3 linked regions of the Arabidopsis thaliana genome follow. The protein of the gene in region 1 interacts with the protein of each later gene in a pairwise test. Each region holds a gene or a part of one and is shown in the gene's direction. Other genes may lie near its edges.

Region 1 (5,671 bases):
ACAGCTTGAAACTGAAACATGGTAACAGAGGCTTCTCATTGCCAATGTAGACTTAAATATGTGTTGCTTTGCATCATTTATGGACCAGAAAGTGGGATAGTTATACGTGTTGGACATAGAAGTCACAAATGGCTGACCACTCCCTTGAATTAAGAAACACAAGAATAAAATATCACTGAAATCACCAGAATAGTAGGAGATGGTAGAACAACTCCACTACGTAGTCATCATCCCACAGAAGAAAGTAGCTTGGAAGAGGAATGTTTTGGTTAGCTTGAAAACTACACCATCAGACAGAAAAATCAGTAAGTAGGATCATATCTCAACCCCATTGTGGAATATGAACCAAATATGCAAGTCAATTTCTTCTACAGACAGTGGATTGGATGAGAACATTGTTTATATATAGTCTTAACATTATTTTATCATTAGTTCATTTTGAAACTTCCATCAGTCAGATTCCCTATATATATAGTAAGTTCATAAAACTAAGAAGAAAAAGCCTATATATCTTTCATATCATTGTGGACCAACAAACTTAAACAAAACCAAAACATCAACGGATCAAGTTCAAGAAACATATATAGCACATACTTAAGATACTTATCTATCTTTCCCATCGCCCAAGTCGAACTCTAATATCGGTTACAAGAAAAAAAACCTAGCATGATTCATAAGAGATAAAAGAAATATCATCCATACGAAACAAAAGAAGGGAAGATTTATGTATAGGGTTTGATTCAAGTGAATGACCATAGAGAAACATTTTCCTAGAAATCACAAAACCCAAAATTAGACCTACCCACACCAAAATCAAACTTCCGAAATAACCGTCCTTCACCGATGTTAGCATGAAACCTAAATTGAATCGGGTGAGTTAGGAGTTAGGACCAATAGCCGATGTTAGGGTTTGACAATGAGTAGGGAGATAGTGAATCGTGTCTTCCTGTAGGTAAAGAAACCGAGATCTAGGGTTTGGTCGAGATTCGAATGTTCTCGTTCTTCCTTTGAACCAGAATGGTCGTGTACACGGTTAAATGGCGTGATAAGCACGCTAACACTTCAGGAGTAATCTGTTCCTATCGCACCTCTTGTCACAGACGGTGAACCCACTGGAAAACCTAAGTGATTTTCTTAATTTTCCCGCTATTTTTGGGATTTCTCAAATTCGCCTCCAATTTTATTTACGAAAATCAAATTTTATCTCGAGCAGTAAATCTAGGGCGTTCGAGTGTCCACTAGTTTTTCTCTTTCTTTATAATATATCTAAGCTTGAAAAATAAATATTAATCAAAATGTATGAATGTTTACTTTATAGAACAATTAATGTATGATTTTTGTAATTGCAATTTGTTTTTTTTTTTTGTGACTTGTGAGTGTGCTTGGCATTGGCATGTTAAACAATTTTGTTGTCAAGTCTTTTATGATGAGAAAGATACATAAGAAACATAATCCCATAATTCCAATTTTTAAAAAATGGAGTTTGTATTTTAATAAATACTTTTGAAAAGATTATTTTTGTTGTGGTATTTTTGAAAACCGGTCAATAAAAATGATATTTGATATTTCTTTCATTATTTTATTTAAATTTAACGGATGATCGCTAATTTACACCAACCGCTTGTTCAGGGTTAGACCGGTTCAAACCGGACAATTCATAGATTTAAACCGAAACGCTAATTACATAAATAAGCTGGGAAACCTACGGAGAGAGAGTTGTCTGAGAGAAAAGGAAAGCGATCGAGAAAGACGTAATTTGATCATCGGAGTAAAAGATATTGTTCGACAGTGGGACTCCCGGGAACGAAGATGGCGATGGCATCATTCGGGCAGCTAAATCTCGAGGAACCTCCTCCAATCTGGGGATCTCGCAGCGTTGATTGCTTTGAGAAGCTCGAACAAATTGGTGAAGGCACTTACGGGTTATTCACTTTCTCTTTAATTCAATTTCACTCTTTGGTTATTCAAAAGGCTTAATTTTTACTTGGGATTGATAAATTATTGGCCTTTGAAGCGATTTTTGATTGTATGATTAGGCTTTTACAATGCCTATGTTGTGTTGCTTTTAGGAGATTTGATTGTTGTTGTTTTGCTGTTGCAGTCAAGTTTACATGGCTAAAGAAATCAAAACTGGTGAAATTGTGGCTCTCAAAAAGATACGTATGGACAATGAAAGAGAAGGGGTATGTGAATTCTTCACTTTATATGGACTATACGTTTTTTTTATGATGCTCACTATGTTTAGAACAGATGCAAGTTTTTGTTTACGATAGGAATTGTAACCCATTGTTTACAACTGGTATGATGCAGTTTCCTATAACAGCTATTAGAGAGATAAAGATTCTGAAGAAGCTTCATCATGAAAATGTCATTCAGCTGAAAGAGATTGTGACTTCACCAGGTTTGTTTAAGGAACACATATGTTGCACTGAATTAAGTTAGCTATTTCTATATAAAGAGGTCTAAACATTTTGTGTTTTGAATGGTTCTGTCTCTTAAAAGGTCGGGACAGGGATGACCAAGGAAAGCCAGGTTTGTGAAAAAAAGTGATTTCAACTACTGTCTTAGTTTCTGCTTATTGAGGATTTCTTCTTAACTAAAGGTTGTGGCTTTTTCACCTATAGATAATAACAAATACAAGGGTGGCATCTACATGGTTTTTGAGTACATGGATCATGATTTGACTGGACTAGCAGATCGTCCTGGACTGAGATTTACTGTTCCTCAAATTAAGGTATTGCACGGCTAAATAGCTCGTTACTTCTATTAGCCTTTTTCATACTTATTGTTCAACTTTATTCTAACACTCAATCCATTTAAAAGTGTTACATGAAGCAATTGCTTACCGGGCTTCACTATTGTCATGTGAATCAAGTGCTTCACCGTGATATAAAAGGTGATTTTCCTTAATACAATGTTGATGTTTGGTTATCACCTTTACTTGCATATTAACCTAGATTTTGATCCAGGCTCAAATCTCCTTATCGACAATGAGGGAAATTTAAAGCTGGCTGATTTTGGGCTTGCACGGTCGTATTCTCATGATCATACTGGAAATCTTACAAATCGTGTCATCACATTGTGGTATAGGTAAGCCTAAAAATCGTCATTCAAAGTTTACATGATATACATAGATAGTCTTAATATTATGGTCTTTGCTAATTCATTGTTATTACTACTTTGCTGATTTACATATATTGCGGCAGGCCCCCTGAATTACTACTTGGGGCTACAAAATATGGCCCAGCAATTGACATGTGGTCGGTTGGTTGCATATTTGCCGAACTTTTGCATGCAAAACCAATCTTACCTGGGAAAAATGAGGTCAGCGTTTCATCTTTGCTGAAAGCGCAGTTCTTTTGAAAATTTCAGATGTTAAGACAGTGTGCTTTCGTGCCACTAATAATATAAGAATCTACATGGTCTCCTGGTTGCATTGTGATATCATTGGAGTAGAAAACCTAAGGGATTAACTAGAATTAGATTTATCGGCACTTTTATTTTGGGACCGTGGGAGGCTGGTTAGGTTCTTTGCATTATATCATGTATACAAAATGGTATAGACGCAGTTATGTATACATGTTATTGATAATCTCAAAAAAATATGTGCCATCTCCTACATTGTTTCAGCAAGAACAATTGAACAAGATATTTGAGCTTTGTGGATCACCTGATGAAAAACTTTGGCCTGGGGTTTCCAAGATGCCTTGGTTCAACAATTTCAAGCCTGCACGGCCCTTGAAGAGGCGTGTAAGAGAGTTCTTCAGACAGTAAGTAAAGTAAACCATTATATATCTCCGCTTTACTTTGATCAGAAGATTTCATTTGGCTTTACTTTCTCTTCTGTACAGCTTTGATCGGCATGCTCTTGAATTACTGGAGAAAATGTTGGTGCTTGATCCAGCACAGGTATCAGAGACCTTTATTCTTATTCCCAGCGAATTATCTTTCTTAAAAACTGTCTTTTACTGTTTTTTGGATGAAACATACCTCTTCAAGTCAGGACATTGTTAACACCATTTAGATATTTAATGTCTCCTTTTTTTCTTTCCCCTGTGTAGAGAATATCGGCAAAGGATGCTCTTGATGCCGAGTACTTTTGGACTGATCCGTTGCCATGTGACCCAAAGAGGTATTTGTATATTCTGATTTTCTCTGACAAAGTTCATGAAACTCATCTGGTGCATCATCATCTAGCTTATTAGACAGGCGATCGTGGGGAATTTTTTCTGACTAAATTAAGGTTTCATTTCAACAGTCTGCCCACATATGAATCATCACATGAGTTCCAGACAAAGAAAAAGCGGCAACAGCAGCGCCAAAACGAGGAAGCAGCAAAAAGACAGAAACTGCAGCATCCACCGCTGCAGCACTCTCGCTTACCCCCATTACAACATGGTGGACAGTCTCATGCTGCTCCACATTGGCCTGCAGGTCCAAACCATCCCACTAACAACGCACCACCACAAGTACCTGCTGGACCCAGCCACAACTTCTATGGGAAGCCGCGTGGTCCACCTGGTCCAAACCGCTACCCTCCTAGCGGAAACCAGAGCGGGGGTTATAATCAAAGCCGAGGAGGTTACAGCAGTGGATCATATCCTCCACAAGGACGTGGAGCTCCTTATGTGGCTGGTCCTAGAGGGCCTAGTGGTGGCCCGTACGGGGTTGGACCTCCTAACTACACACAAGGTGGTCAGTATGGTGGCTCTGGTAGCTCGGGAAGAGGGCAGAATCAGAGAAACCAGCAATACGGATGGCAACAGTAAAGAGCTCTAATGATTTGTTGATCTGATATCTTACTCTTACATTTAATGTGATACTAGTAATAAACTAATAATAGATTAATATGAGAAACTGAATCTCTTTCTTTTCCCAATTCTTTCCAAGTCTTATTTCGTTATCCAAACATTTTCTAGTAATGTCAAGATGGAGACTGACAGTGTGTGATGTAAAAGAAATGAGCAATGAGAACAGAGCAAAACATGCCATTCTTCTTCATAAGCTTTCAGACGTCTTTATTACACAACTCTATATTGAAAACAAAACCTCTCCAAAGAAAAACTAGAGTCTCCAAGTGTAATCACCTTTCCTCATACCAGGATTTATTTGTTCCATAAAATTATGAATCTTTCGTTTAAAAATCTTCCTATTCTGCTGCTGTGTATATATTTAAAACTGATTAACAAGCACAACCACCTCGTTGTTGCTCCCCTTGAGCCGAATTGCTCGAAGTCTTTAGATTCACATCAACCATATCCTCTTGTTTCGTTGAAGAAAGTGTTTCCATTCCTGGTAACGCTGCTGCAATCTTGCGAAAAAGTGGCTGCAAGTTTCCAAAACACCAGAACAAGAAAGCCAAGCGTTATTCCAAGAAATCTCAAGATCTTAAACGAGTAATGAGAGCATAGTTGCATCTCTCACCTTGATGTTAAATCCTGCTTTTGCACTGGTCTCAATGAATATTACTCCATAATCACGAGCTTTGTTATCACCTTCCTCAATCGACACTTGCCTGTCAAATGGAAATATCAAGTTGGATAGCTAAATAGAAAAAGCTTCCATGTCTCATTCTCGTCAAGTGTTTCTTACCTTTTGTCGACGAGATCTGTTTTGTTACCAACCAGAACAATGATGACATCGCTACCTCTCTCTGTACGAACATCCTCAA
Region 2 (6,763 bases), about 15 Mb from region 1:
CTATCTTATTCCTTACGTCATTATCTTTTAAGTTGGCAAATATTTTTCTTAAGTTAATTAGTTAATGTTTTACGACCTTTTCAACCTAAAAAATGAAACACGAACTACGAACTGACTAGCCCTAATTCTCCCAATTTGATTGAAAGACTCTCCCTGAAACAGAGCACTTTAGGCTAGGTTTCCTACTTTGTTTCTAGCAATCGATTGCTTCGTGGGTAGGTTTTCAAAATCAAAACCTAATATTCACTTTCTTTGGGAATCTCGCGAGTTAATTTACAAGATCACATGTCTCAATGTATCGTAGGGTTTCTGTGTTTTTTTTTTTTTTTTTTCTTTTTCCTGTTGGGAAGGGTTTCTTGTTTTTTTTGCTAAGCTTATTATTTTTCTTTCTAATTTAATTTAGGATCCTTTAATTTATAAAGATAAAAAAAAATTAAATTGTTTGTTATGGAGTGTTTATCTAAATTAGTTTATAATGGTATAGATAAATATGAAAAAATAAAGATACTTATAAATTTAAAGAAGAAAAAAAAGAAAAACTTTAATATAATATTAGATATCCACATATTATTCAGATTTTACTAGGTTTTTTCGAGTTTACCCACTAAACCCGAAACCTATCGGATTTTTTGTGGGCATATTAAATTCGGGTTCGAGTCGGATTAGTTATATTTTGTCAAAAATGTATAATTGTTTGCAAAATGTAACCAAATTTAATTAATTGAAACCATTTTTATTAAAATTGAACAACTTGTAGGTTTTTTCCGACCATTCCAAATCTTACACCTACCCGAACCGAATAATCATAAAACCCCAATGGATAATAGTCTCTTCTTCTACCAGAAATATCCAAATCCAAAAAAAATCAAATCTGATCAAAGTTTCTAAAGCATAAGCCTAGACACAACTTCAATGAATTTCATAAATTTTAAGAAATTATATTTACATTGATATAATCTAATTCTTTTTTTTAAAGCATAAGCCTAGACACAACTTCAATGAATTTCATAAATTTTAAGAAATTATATTTACATTGATATAATCTAATTCTTTTTTTTAAACTACTAAAATATACATATTTATTAGTTTGAAAAATGAAAAATTGAAAAATGAGTGTGGGGCACGTGCCTCACCTCTCCTCTACCTACATCTGCCCCATGTTATAACTCTAATCTCAATATTCTCTCTAAATATTTTTAAATAACGTAATTTTTTTTGTTGTTTACTAAATAACTACTACAGTATACTATGTGATTTAAACTATAAATATTGCTAACTTGTCATAAATGTTTTACACAAACATATATATACTTAATTCTCATTCATCTTCGATACTATTGAATATTTTATTATAATCTTTATCTATACATCTCACCATTTTATATGTTTAGTTGACATCCAAATTTTGGAGTTATTTTAACAAAACAAAAGAAAAAAACAAAACTTTTGACAAAATACACAAAAAAAACATATTTGAAGAAATTTTTATATTTTTTCAAAAGCTTTAGTAGATAATTAAAATTTAATTTGTGATATATGTATATATTGTGATTTACGTATATCGCGGTCATTTTGAGTTAACAACTTTAAAAAATTTACTTTAAATAATAAAAATTATAAAGTCGCATTTTTATAACCTAGGCCTATATAAAATATAATAAGCTTTTAATATTTATTTTATCTCTTGATTTCTAATTCCTAATAACTGTTTCCTATTTTCTTTTTCTTTTTCTTTTTTTTTCCGTCGATTTTCTTTTTGTTCTTATCACATTTCAAAAAACAAATGTTAAAGATATCAATAAAGACGATTAGTGATTAGCTTATGAATTTATTTATATTCTTTTAATGTGAAAAAAGGGAAAGAAGTGAATCTGGTCTCAGCTTTTAATATCACAACTCTTTAGAATACTTCCTATCCCCTTTTTCTTCTTCTTCCCTCTTTCGTTTTCTCGCGACTCTCTAGGGTTAGGGTTTGTTGATTTTCACGCGTTATTCTTCATCTTCTTCTGCAATTCGCAACTAGAGAAGCTAATTCCATTGAAGTTAAGGTAAAGTATCCATCTTTTTGTTTCCCTCCCTCGTTCAATTACTGTCTTAAATTCTCGTTGATTTCCTTTATCCTCTCGATTTGGGTATTCTTTTTTGTCCACCGTCAAGTGAATCTCTCAACGAATTTTTCCATCTTCCGGTTAATTTCTATAGAAACCCTTTGGATCTGTTTTTTTCCTGCTCAATTACTAATTTTCTAGGTATCGTTTCGTGTTTTGAGAAAATTTTGGGATTTTGATCGAATGTATCTAATTGGTGATGAATTTTTAGCCTAATCAAGTTGTTACCACAAGTTCGATTCCATGATTTGCAATTCGTAAAGGTTCATCCTTTGCATGATTCATGTTCATAGCTTGTAGAAGATTTATCCCCTTTGACTCTCGTTTTAGACTATGTGGTTATGTTTCCTTGAAGCCATGTCACTAGTCTCTTCCCCGTTGTGCCCTTCCGTGTAGCTAATTTCTTATTCAAAGCCAAAGTTCGAATGCGGGTATAAAAAACATAGCTATCTACTTTTTCTGATGATCTCTTATCCTATCTAGTGTCGAGTATCAGACTTATTACCATTGTAAAGAGATGCCCCATTTTGGTCCGCTGCTTTTGCTAGGTTGCACAGATTGTTATAAAGTGAAGCAAATTTTGGTTCTTTGCTGTCATTTTGCTACTCTGCTTTACGACACTAATCATGAATCAGTATCTCCCCCTTTGTGCCCTTCTGTGTACTGTTAGAAACCTCAGTTGATTCCTGTTCTTAGAGTTTTCTAAATGCTTATAAGATTATCTGTTATTCAAAGATACGGTTTTAATGCAATTACAAAGATCATAGCTTCGTTTGTTGGGGAATCGATCTGGTTTTTCTTATGTTCTCTTTAATTGTCCTTTCTAGTGTTGAGTTTCAGGCTTATTATTATTTGTAAAGTGATGCACATTTTGGTTCTCTGCTTTTGTTAGGTGGGGATAATTTTTGGTTTTAGAAGATACTAATGGCTGGAGTACTAGCTGGGGAATGTTCTTACAGTGAGAGTGGAGTTTCATCACACTCAAGGAATTCCCATGAAAAGCAAGAAGAGGTTTCCCGCTGGTATTTTGGAAGAAAAGAAATAGAAGAGAATTCACCGTCAAGGTTGGATGGTATTGACTTAAAGAAGGAAACATACCTCCGCAAATCCTACTGTACATTTTTGCAGGACTTGGGCATGAGATTGAAAGTGTAAGTTCTCTATCACCTCATCTTAGATTTCTTTCTGTGCATTGTTCCTTTAACTGCTTCAAGTTGGCTTGGTTTCTTGACATTATAGTTCGTCCAATCCGTCCCATCATCATTGTGGACAGATAATAGTTACCCCTTTACATATAGGTTTCGTTTAATTGGAATTTGATGTGCTGCTGATGGTTTTAGGCATACGTTTGTACTGATGTTAGTTCTAGCACCTTTAAACGGAAAGTTGTAGAAGTTGTGTTTATTTTATCTCAATTTTTCTTTCTTTGGCATGAATACAAGGAAGAGACAGTTATTAGTGGTGAAGACATAACTGCCACACTGTCTTAATTTTGCTTTTGTAGTCATGGTTTCTGCATTGTTCAGAGATTTCAATTTTTGGCTCTCTTGGAAAGTCGCTGATATAGTTTTCCAATCAGTCCCCAGGTTACAATAGCTACAGCGATAATCTTCTGTCATCGATTCTTCTTTCGCCAATCACATGCAAAGAATGACAGAAGGGTGAGTTTATTGTTTTGCACCTGAACAAGTTGAATGCTTAAAAAAAAATGACTCTATTCTGTGTTGTTTGAACCACTATGCTGTAGTCTGGCTAGTATTTAAGGTATTGAAATGTATTGGTTTTATATATAGTGGATCCATCTCCTTGCCATTTTTCATGGTATTTATAGAGAGCTCATTATTGTAGTTTCATTTATAGTTTCGCTACCACTTTGATTTAGATTTTTCTTTTTTACTTATTCTATGCAGAATTAGTGAATTGTGATTGTTGTTATTTCTTCTAGAGCGGAAAAAAATACTCGGATCTTTACTGAGCTCTCTCTTCATGTTGTTTCTGCAGACCATTGCAACTGTATGCATGTTCCTTGCTGGAAAGGTTGAGGAAACTCCACGGCCCTTGAAAGATGTTATTTTTGTCTCCTATGAGATTATAAACAAGAAGGATCCTGGTGCTTCCCAGAAAATCAAGCAAAAGGTATTCCATCTTACTACTGAATCTTCCTAATTTCTCACCTCTGTTTTACTAGTTATAGATGAACGTATCATTTTTTCCCCATATCTTTTGTTTTATTTGACATTGAGGTTTTAGTATTAGCTACAGACTTTGCTTCGTTGTTTTGTAGAACCATGGTCCTTTGGTCCTGATTTATTGTCTGTTGGTCAGCATATCAAAATGTATTTGACCTATATCACTTTTTCAGGAAGTATATGAGCAACAAAAAGAGCTTATATTAAACGGAGAAAAAATTGTTCTTTCCACTCTAGGCTTTGACCTCAATGTTTATCATCCTTATAAACCCCTGGTAGAAGCAATAAAGAAATTTAAGGTTGCACAGAATGCACTTGCCCAAGTTGCATGGAATTTTGTTAATGATGGGTACGTTCAAGAACTATTTCCTTCTAAAGCTTCCAATAATTCTATGTGCCTTGTATTTTCGTCTTCATACAATGAAAAGTGGCTTGCAGTCTACGGACATCTCTCTGCCTGCAATTTAAGCCTCATCATATTGCGGCTGGTGCAATATTTCTTGCGGCCAAGTTCCTTAAAGTGAAGTTACCATCAGATGGAGAGAAGGTTTGGTGGCAAGAATTTGATGTCACACCCAGACAACTGGAGGGTATGTACAATATGAATTGACTTGACAATTCTTGTTTCCTTGTTTGACTTCCATTCCCTTTTTCTTTATGATTTCAAGAGTAATCGTCTTTTGTATATCTCAGATGTTAGCAACCAAATGCTTGAGCTTTATGAGCAAAATCGTGTCCCTGCATCTCAAGGAAGTGAAGTCGAGAGTAGTGTAGGTGGAGGGTCAGCTCAGCGACCAGGCTCCAGAAATGCGGTTTCAACCGATGAGCATGTTGGTTCTAGGCAAACGTCATCAGTACGTTCAACCCATGAACAATCAAATTCTGATAATCATGGGGGTTCATCCAAAGGAGTATTGAATCAGAACAATGAGAATGGGGGTGGTGAGGCAGCTAATGTCAGTGTCGATAACAAAGAGGAGATAGAGAGAGAAACAAAAGAAAGCAGCCTACATCTTGAAAGCCATCCAGCCCATAAGGACAATGTGAGAGAAGCCCCCCATAACTCTAGACCTTTAGTTGAGGGACCTGGGAAAGACAACTCAGAAAGAGAGGGTGGAGAGCTACAAGATGATGGTGCTGTTCATAAATCTCGAAATGTTGATGTGGGTGATGCCCTAATCAGCCAATCGCCAAAAGATTTGAAATTGCTTCGAGATAAGGTGAAGGCTAAACGAGAGAAAGCTAAGAAGTTGCTAGGTGAAAGAACGAGGAAAAAGGATTTGATGGATGAGGATGATTTGATTGAAAGAGAACTGGAAGATGTGCAACTAGCTGTTGAGGATGAAAAGACGAAGGAAAGGAAAGTACAGAGCAGGCCAAAGGCGGAGAACTCTGATCTCATGGGTACAGAACATGGTGAGATTTTAGATGTTAAAGGAGAAGTCAAAAATACAGAGGAAGGTGAAATGGTAAACAACAATGTGTCCCCGATGATGCATAGCAGAAAGAGAAAAATGGGAAGCCCTCCTGAAAAGCAGTCAGAAGGAAAGAGACGCCACAATAGTGAGAATGGGGAAGAAAGCCATAAGACGAGCAGAGGTAGTAGCCATCATGGTGATAGAGAGCACAGAAGACACTCACAAGAGAATAACCATTCATAAGAGAGGTAATGATTATTAAAACTGCTACTCTTTGTATTCCATCTAAATGGTCTTTTTAAAAGACCTTTGGCACTTCGATGCCCAACCATGTGAACTTGACTTCTACATGGGTCGGTTCAGTCGTTGGAACCATGCTCTCTGTATTTTATGTTGATTATATATCTATTCGTGGCATTTTTGCACAATCCAACGACTTGAACTAGGACTCATCATCCTAAAAGGATGTTGAGAAGCTAATTAGGTGTTTCTTCCTGTAACCACTCCATGCTAGGGTTCTTTAATTATGCATAATTACCTGCTTTTTTCCATCTAATCTAAACCGGGCTAAGGTTTGATTCTGCTTGGCAACTTCATAGTCACATTTACTTCGTTTCCTTATATTGATGCGCATTGTGAAAAAGTTTCCTCTAGTACGGTAAAATTAGTGTCAGGTCATAGGAAGTAATGTATAGGTTGTGGTTAAGTCCACTTGATAACTTCTTTGTTACTGTACATTGTTGAATTGAGTTTACTTTTGATGCCAAAATATTGTTACGACCAATGTTTTCTTAAGTTATATATGATGTAAAAGAGAGAAACCTTTGTATTGTACGGTATCAAAATGAACTATATGTACTTTTAAGTCTGTCAGATTTTGTTTTCTTCGAAAAGTGATATTTTGTATGACCTATCGGAGAAGTGCCATCTGATTCGGAAGCATAAATACAAAGAAAGCATGTAGAAAGAAAGAACGAAAATAACTAAATATGTAACTCTTCTGTTATCTAGAAAAGAAAGGAAGAGATCTATAGAGTAGAACATTCTG
Region 3 (6,731 bases), on another chromosome or scaffold:
GCCTATAATTAAGATGTTACTTACTAGTTTACACGAGATTCTTCTTTTTATGAATTGTTTTTATCCATTCTTCGATTGTTGTTTGTGAAATTGTGATTGATTATGTGTAATTATGTAGTGGCTTTGGATAGAGTAACTTCAGATTCAGAGATCTGTGGCTAAGGACTTGTTTTTCTAACTTAGTGATTTTCATTTACGGTTTTGCTTCTGTTTTTCATCCTTCTTAATCCTTTTTCTTTTGGCTCCTCCAATTGGTTTTCCATAGAGACAAGGTGCAAAATCGTTTGAAGGATTCTTTGTTCAACAAAGATATGGAATGCAACAAGGAGGAAGCTATAAGAGCAATGGATATTGCTAAGAGGAAAGTTGCAGAGAATGATTACAACGGGGCTAAGCTTTTTGCTAACAAGGCTCAGGATTTGTATCCGAAACTTGATGGTTTAAGACAAGTGATGATGTTGATCGATGTGTATATCTCAGCAGGAAATACAATTAGTGGAGGAGAATCTGATTGGTATGGAATTCTTGGTGTTGATCCTTTGGCTGATGAGGAAGTAGTGAAGAAACAGTATAAGAGGCTAGCTCTTTTGCTTCATCCTGACAAGAACAATTGTGAAGGCGCAGAGGGTGCGTTTAAGCTTGTGTTAGCTGCTTGGTGTTTGTTATCTGATAAGGTTAAGAGAATTGCTTATGATCAGAAGAGGAAGTTGAACGAAGTTAAACCGAAAAGGAGTCGAAAGCAGAAACAACCTCCAAAGAAACCACCAAATCAGCCGAAACAACAACCAAATCAGCAGAAACAACCACCAGATCAGCAGAAGCAGCCACCAAATCAGCCTAGACAGCCACCAAACCAGCAGAAGCAACCACAAAACGAGCCGAAACAACCACCAAACCAGCCTAAACAACCACCAAATCAAGCAAGTACTAATGGTAGAGCTAGAAGCAAAAAGCCCACTTCCAAAGTTTCTATCTTTTGGACAATGTGCAACAAATGCGAGACACAATATGAGTATGTGAGGGTTTATTATCTTAACAAGACCGTACTTTGCCGAAATTGCCGTGGGAATTTTAAGGCAACTGAGATAGAGAAAACACCAACTGAGAAGGAAAAAACACCAACTGAGAAAGAGGAAACACCACAAGCAACAAACAAGAACACAAATGGTGCTTCGTCTTCTTGTGATAGAGATTCTTCACTAAATGTTAATTTTGATTCTAGTTTTCGACGGGATTCTTCTTTATCAAGAATGAGTTACTTTAACAGTGGAAATGTGGCAAATCAAGCAGAAGAAAGAGGGAAAAGAGAGGTAAGGGAGTCAGAAGAAGAAGCTGGTAGAGGAATTGCAAACTCTGATTTGAAAGTAGAAGAGAGAGTTTTTAAGAAGCTGAGGACAGATAACTATGCAGAGTCAAGTAGTGAAATCAAGGTGTGAAGTAAGCTGAGGACAGATAATTAGAAGTTTAACAGTGAAGTAGGAACTATGACATTTAGAAGTTTAACAATCAATGATTTTATGATTATGATATTTGAATATTTTGCATCTAGACTAGGATCTTGTACAGTGGAACCAGGTTAGTTCTTCTTCCTGTCATCTTCAATGTTGAATCTGAAATGTCAAAGCTTTATTTTATTTTTGTTAACAATGTGTGCTTTAACAACGTGAGTCAAATTAATCAAAGTGGGTTCACTTAAATTGTTGGAAGAAATTTTACTTCCACTAACTAAATATTTCCTTCTTCGGTCCCTTCATTCTCAAAAGTTTTTACTTTTGTCCCCAAATATTTTAACGGAGAAGATTTAGTCTCCTACTTCGGGTCATCATATATCACTTGAAAATCGGGATATTCGTTAAAAATCCCCCTTTTTTTTTTTTCTTTTCTTGCTTCCTCCCTTTTTTTTTTTTTTTGTTCTTTCCTTTCTCGCGTTTCTTCTCCTAGGGTTAGGGTTCGACGAACGCAGCTGTTCCACGCGTTTAGTTTCAATTCTCCATCGAAGAAGCCATAATCCGGTGCGTAATCATCGTTTTTGTTATATGTTTCCGATTAGGTGTATTATTTTCCGTTTGTTTTCTCGGGTTTGGTAGTTTCACGAACTTTTGCATCTCTCAGATCTATTGTACGTTTTTTCCTTCGTTTGTGACGGATTTTTCTGTGAAAAGAGTTTAAATTTCCATGGAGAATTACTCGATTATCTCTAATTTAACTCTTTGGCAATCAAATTTTTCGATTTTATTGTTTTTTTCTGGATGCGTGAGCTTAGTTATGAACAAGGAGGGTCAACTCGTTTACATGATTCTCTATTCACAGTATTTTCGTGGGAAAGGAGCAATTATGTTTTTGTTTTCATGATTCATGTCTTTATGTTGCATATTTTGGCCCCTTTTACTCTCATTTAGACTATGTGGTGTTTGTTTTGATGCCATTGTTTTGATTTTCCATCAATTAGTAATTTTTTCAGTCCGAATTTCAATTCTTCGTCATTGACCTTGTTGATGATTCCTGTGCTTTCAGATTCCTAAAGAGCTTACATTTGTTACTCAACTTTAAAGTTTTGACGCTAGAGATTACTATCCTCTTGCTGGGAACTCAACGTGACCAGGTATAAATCTCAGCTCATAGATAAGCAAAGTAGTTTTTTTCTACATCTCTTAGATTTGTACCCTTTTTAGCTCACAGTATCAGTTCAATAACCAAGCTGATCCCTCTTATGAACTTACATTCATTGGTTCTGTTTTTGCTAGACTGTGTTTGAAAGATAGCAATGGCTGGAGTATTAGCTGGGGATTGTTCATTCGGTGAGAGTGGTGTTTCATCTTACTCCAGGAATTCCAATGAAAAGCAGGACGAGGTTGCCCGCTGGTATTTTGGAAGAAAAGAAATTGAAGAAAATTCACCTTCAAGGTTGGATAGTATTGACTTAAAGAAGGAAACATACCTCCGCAAGTCATACTGTACATTTTTGCAGGATTTAGGCATGAGATTAAAAGTGTAAGTATAAATTTCTGACCTATATATTTCAGCTTTATACATTGCATTTTCCATTTGATTACTTCTTGCGAGCTTGGTCTAGGACATGCTAGTTTCTCCTACCATGATAATTGCCTCTATTTTGCTTATAGTATTATAGTGAATTCTTGATCCCCTTACATTAGGTTCTGTAGGATCGAATTTTGAAATTTATAGAACTTGATATCGTAGAGGTCATTAGAGCATGAATAAGCTAGTCAGAGTTATTGCCTTATTGGCAACAAAAAGGTGAAACTTGTGGGTTCATCTTGTGTTGTATGGCCCAATAGTCCTTTAATGGCTTTCTGAAATTTAGTATATAGTGATGAACACAATACTCTGAATTTATCTTCATATTGACATGGTTTCATTTGCACTGATAGCTTTCACTTTTGGCTCTCTCAATGAACGCGGCTAATATATTTTTCTAATACAGTCCTCAGGTTACAATAGCTACCGCAATTATCTTCTGTCATCGATTCTTCATTCGCCAGTCACATGCTAGGAATGACAGAAGGGTGAGTATATATTCTTTGCACATGGCGTTGTGAATACTTATATACATGGGCCTACTGTTTGTTGTTCGAGCCAGTCTGCTGCTATCTTTGTTTGCATGTATTTGAAGCATTAAATGGCTCCTTTTCCTTGCGTCCGCTTATATTCATTGTCTCCATGTCTCTGCCAGTTTCCTTTGTATATATATAGAGAGAGCAAATCGGCTGATGCATTAGATGAATATACACTGACTTCTCGCGAATATTCCTGCCATGAATATTAAGCGTTCTCTTAGTCTATTTGGTTAATGCATCTAGTTCTTTGTCCATATTTATCCTTCTAGAAACTAGCGCAGAACAGTATTAAGATTATTACTGAGTCCTTTTTCCATGTTGTCCTCCCTCCTCACCCAGACGATTGCTACAGTCTGCATGTTCCTTGCGGGAAAAGTGGAAGAAACTCCTAGGCCGTTAAAAGATGTTATTGTTGTCTCCTATGAGATAATACACAAGAAGGATCCTACTACTGCACAGAAAATCAAGCAAAAGGTCTGAATATTCTAAACTTTCTCTAATCCGGTTTCCTGTTTAGTAATAAGCGAATTTGCACTGTTTCTCGCATATTCTATTTTACTATGACATAAGTTTTCTACTAAACCCAGGATTGCACTTGTTTGTGAACAATCCTCCTATGATCATTGTCCTTGTCGTTGGATCTCTCATCTGTGCTGGTCACCGTCTCTATTATTTCTCTTCTTTGTACTGAACGTATTTCACTTTTGCAGGAAGTATATGAGCAACAAAAAGAGCTTATACTAAATGGAGAAAAGATTGTACTTTCTACGCTGGGATTTGACTTCAATGTTTATCATCCTTATAAGCCTCTTGTAGAAGCGATAAAGAAATTTAAGGTCGCACAGAATGCTCTGGCCCAAGTTGCATGGAATTTTGTTAACGATGGGTACGTTAAAAGTCTGTTTCCTTGAAAGCTTCAGATAGATCTATCTGTCTTGTATTTTCTTCTTCATACAATGAAAAGATGCTTGCAGTCTGCGGACGTCACTCTGCCTGCAATTTAAGCCTCACCACATTGCGGCGGGAGCAATTTTTCTTGCTGCGAAGTTCCTTAAAGTGAAATTACCATCAGATGGAGAGAAGGTCTGGTGGCAAGAATTTGATGTCACACCTCGACAACTAGAGGGTGAGAGAACTATCTTTATCTTTGAATTAATTTTATGAAACTGTTTCCACTTTTTCTGTTTGACTTGTATGCCTTATTTTGCATCTGATGCTAAGAGCTACTCCCTTATGTATACTGCAGATGTTAGCAACCAAATGCTTGAGCTCTATGAGCAAAACCGTGTTCCTGCATCTCAAGTAAGCGAAGTCGAAAGTAGTGTAGGTGGAGGATCAGCTCATCATGTTGGGTCTAGGCCATCAGCACGTCTAACTCATGAACATTCAAATTCTGATAATCTCGGGGGCTCGACAAAAGCTACACAAAACCGGAGCAATGATAATGGGAGTGGTGAGGCAGGTAGTGTCATCACCGAGCAGAAGGGGGAAAGAGATACAGAAACGAAAGATAGCATGCATACTGAAAGTCATCCAGCCCATAAGTCTAGATCGGGAGTTGAGGCACCTGGGGAGGATAAAATAGAGAAAGCAGGTGCACATTTTCCAGAAGATGATAAATCTAGAATTGTTGGTACAGCTGATGTCACGGTCAGCCAATCCCCAAAAGACATAAAAATGTTTAGAGATAAGGTGAAGGCCAAACTAGAGGCGAAGAAGGTCCAAGGTGAAAAGACGAGAAAGAAGGATTTGGTGGATGAGGATGATTTGATAGAAAGAGAACTGGAAGACGTGGAATTAGCTGTTGAGGATGACAAAGATATACAAAACAAAAGCTCCATGGGTACAGAACATGGCGAGATTCTTGATGGAAACAACTTGGTGGTCAATACCGAGGAAGGTGAAATGATAGATGATGTTTCTTCAACAATGCCTAGCCGGAAGAGAAAAATGGAAAGTCCTTGTGAAAAACAGTTAGGAGAAGGAAAGAGACGACACGACAACAGTGAGAATGTGGAAGAAGGTCAGAAGACAAACCCAGGAGGAAGTAGTCATAGTTATGGTGACAGAGAGCCAAGAAGACACTCCCAAGAGAGGTAGATGATCAAAACCTTCTCATGGTCTATTAGAGACATTTCCCAACCATGATGCGAAATGAGTCCACTGTATTTACAATGTTGGTTATCTTTTCATTTTCCTTGGCACTTGTATTCAACAGTTGAGAAACTAAATCAGGTTTCCATCCATCCCATAGGATTTAGGGTCTCTATAATTTTGATCTTTGTTAGCATTCCCTTTTGTATATCGGGGGAATAAAAAAGAATTTTGACGAATTTATTTAGAGCCAAGACAATATTAGTGTTTTGTCATTCATTGCCGAAGGATGTTTTGATAATAACAATATGAAACAGAGTGGTCAATTGATTTGTCAATGTGTAGTTGTTTTTGTAAGGTTTGTTTTATGTTAAGTCCACTCGTAACCTTGTTCCCATTGTCATTATACTGCTTTTCGTATGTATCGGTTAGCTTGGTGACCAATCCGGTTAACCACAAAATCAGGCGGAATAGTTGTCAAATTAAAGAGCAAAAAAGACTCATGAAAAAGAGCTGTAGGGGTTTTCATTTTTTCAATTCGTTTTCAAAATTTTCAGGTTTAAAAATAAATACAGGTCTGAATTAATTCGCTCGGTTTGAATTTTCGGGTTTAGTCCAGTGTGATTTAGTCGGTTAAGTTGCTCAAAATTTTGGATTTGGTTCGGTTTATTCATTATCAAACACAAAAACACAAAAAAAGCCAACCTAAAGAAGGAACAACAAAAGACCTAAAAACCCTCTCGTCTTCTCTTCTTCTTCTTCTTCTTCTCCTTGCTCTCTCTTGTCGTCGGCGGCAGATTATTCAATCGTTAGGCTATCGTTCCGACACTCTACAGTCATTACAAACATTTCAATACAACAAAAACTCATCCTTTTCTTCTCTTATTAACCATAATTTCGGATTCCCTTTCTAAGTATACAGCTTTCCCAGAACGAGCTCTTGCAAAGCCAAAGAATGTAAGTATTTGTTTCTTTAGGGTTTTAGCGAATTCAATCTTAGTAAGTCATCTTCTTCTTTTTTCGACCTTTGTATAATTGCAGGTCGAGGATTTGTGTTAA

The links.
Region 2: the proteins of CDKC;1 (region 1) and AT5G45190 interact in a protein complementation assay, tested with the Arabidopsis thaliana proteins (one study listed by BioGRID).
Region 3: the proteins of CDKC;1 (region 1) and CYCT1;4 interact in a protein complementation assay, tested with the Arabidopsis thaliana proteins (one study listed by BioGRID).

What each region holds. Positions count from the first base shown.
Region 1 is NC_003076.8:3,220,813-3,226,483, reverse strand, and holds CDKC;1 (cyclin-dependent kinase C;1), read left to right. Parts: upstream 1-1,695; 5' UTR 1,696-1,809; coding exon 1,810-1,922; intron 1,923-2,101; coding exon 2,102-2,183; intron 2,184-2,310; coding exon 2,311-2,401; intron 2,402-2,502; coding exon 2,503-2,532; intron 2,533-2,624; coding exon 2,625-2,734; intron 2,735-2,823; coding exon 2,824-2,896; intron 2,897-2,969; coding exon 2,970-3,090; intron 3,091-3,206; coding exon 3,207-3,324; intron 3,325-3,630; coding exon 3,631-3,770; intron 3,771-3,851; coding exon 3,852-3,909; intron 3,910-4,061; coding exon 4,062-4,132; intron 4,133-4,258; coding exon 4,259-4,769; 3' UTR 4,770-4,991; downstream 4,992-5,671. Other genes in the region: RABH1e (RAB GTPase homolog H1E), read right to left, coding at 5,183-5,326, 5,425-5,515, 5,593-5,671.
Region 2 is NC_003076.8:18,277,003-18,283,765, reverse strand, and holds AT5G45190 (Cyclin family protein), read left to right. Parts: upstream 1-1,891; 5' UTR 1,892-2,048; intron 2,049-3,000; 5' UTR 3,001-3,032; coding exon 3,033-3,257; coding exon of another isoform or gene 3,258-3,259; intron 3,260-3,322; coding exon 3,323-3,346; intron 3,347-3,448; coding exon 3,449-3,466; intron 3,467-3,687; coding exon of another isoform or gene 3,688-3,694; coding exon 3,695-3,769; intron 3,770-4,109; coding exon 4,110-4,244; intron 4,245-4,470; coding exon 4,471-4,646; intron 4,647-4,735; coding exon 4,736-4,887; intron 4,888-4,990; coding exon 4,991-5,958; 3' UTR 5,959-6,146; downstream 6,147-6,763.
Region 3 is NC_003075.7:10,670,855-10,677,585, forward strand, and holds CYCT1;4 (Cyclin family protein), read left to right. Parts: upstream 1-1,910; 5' UTR 1,911-2,012; intron 2,013-2,514; 5' UTR 2,515-2,602; intron 2,603-2,744; 5' UTR 2,745-2,764; coding exon 2,765-2,991; intron 2,992-3,445; coding exon 3,446-3,527; intron 3,528-3,917; coding exon 3,918-4,052; intron 4,053-4,288; coding exon 4,289-4,464; intron 4,465-4,552; coding exon 4,553-4,704; intron 4,705-4,824; coding exon 4,825-5,678; 3' UTR 5,679-6,075; downstream 6,076-6,731. Other genes in the region: AT4G19590 (Chaperone DnaJ-domain superfamily protein), read left to right, coding at 312-1,436; AT4G19610 (nucleotide/nucleic acid binding protein), read left to right, coding at 6,628-6,629, 6,714-6,731.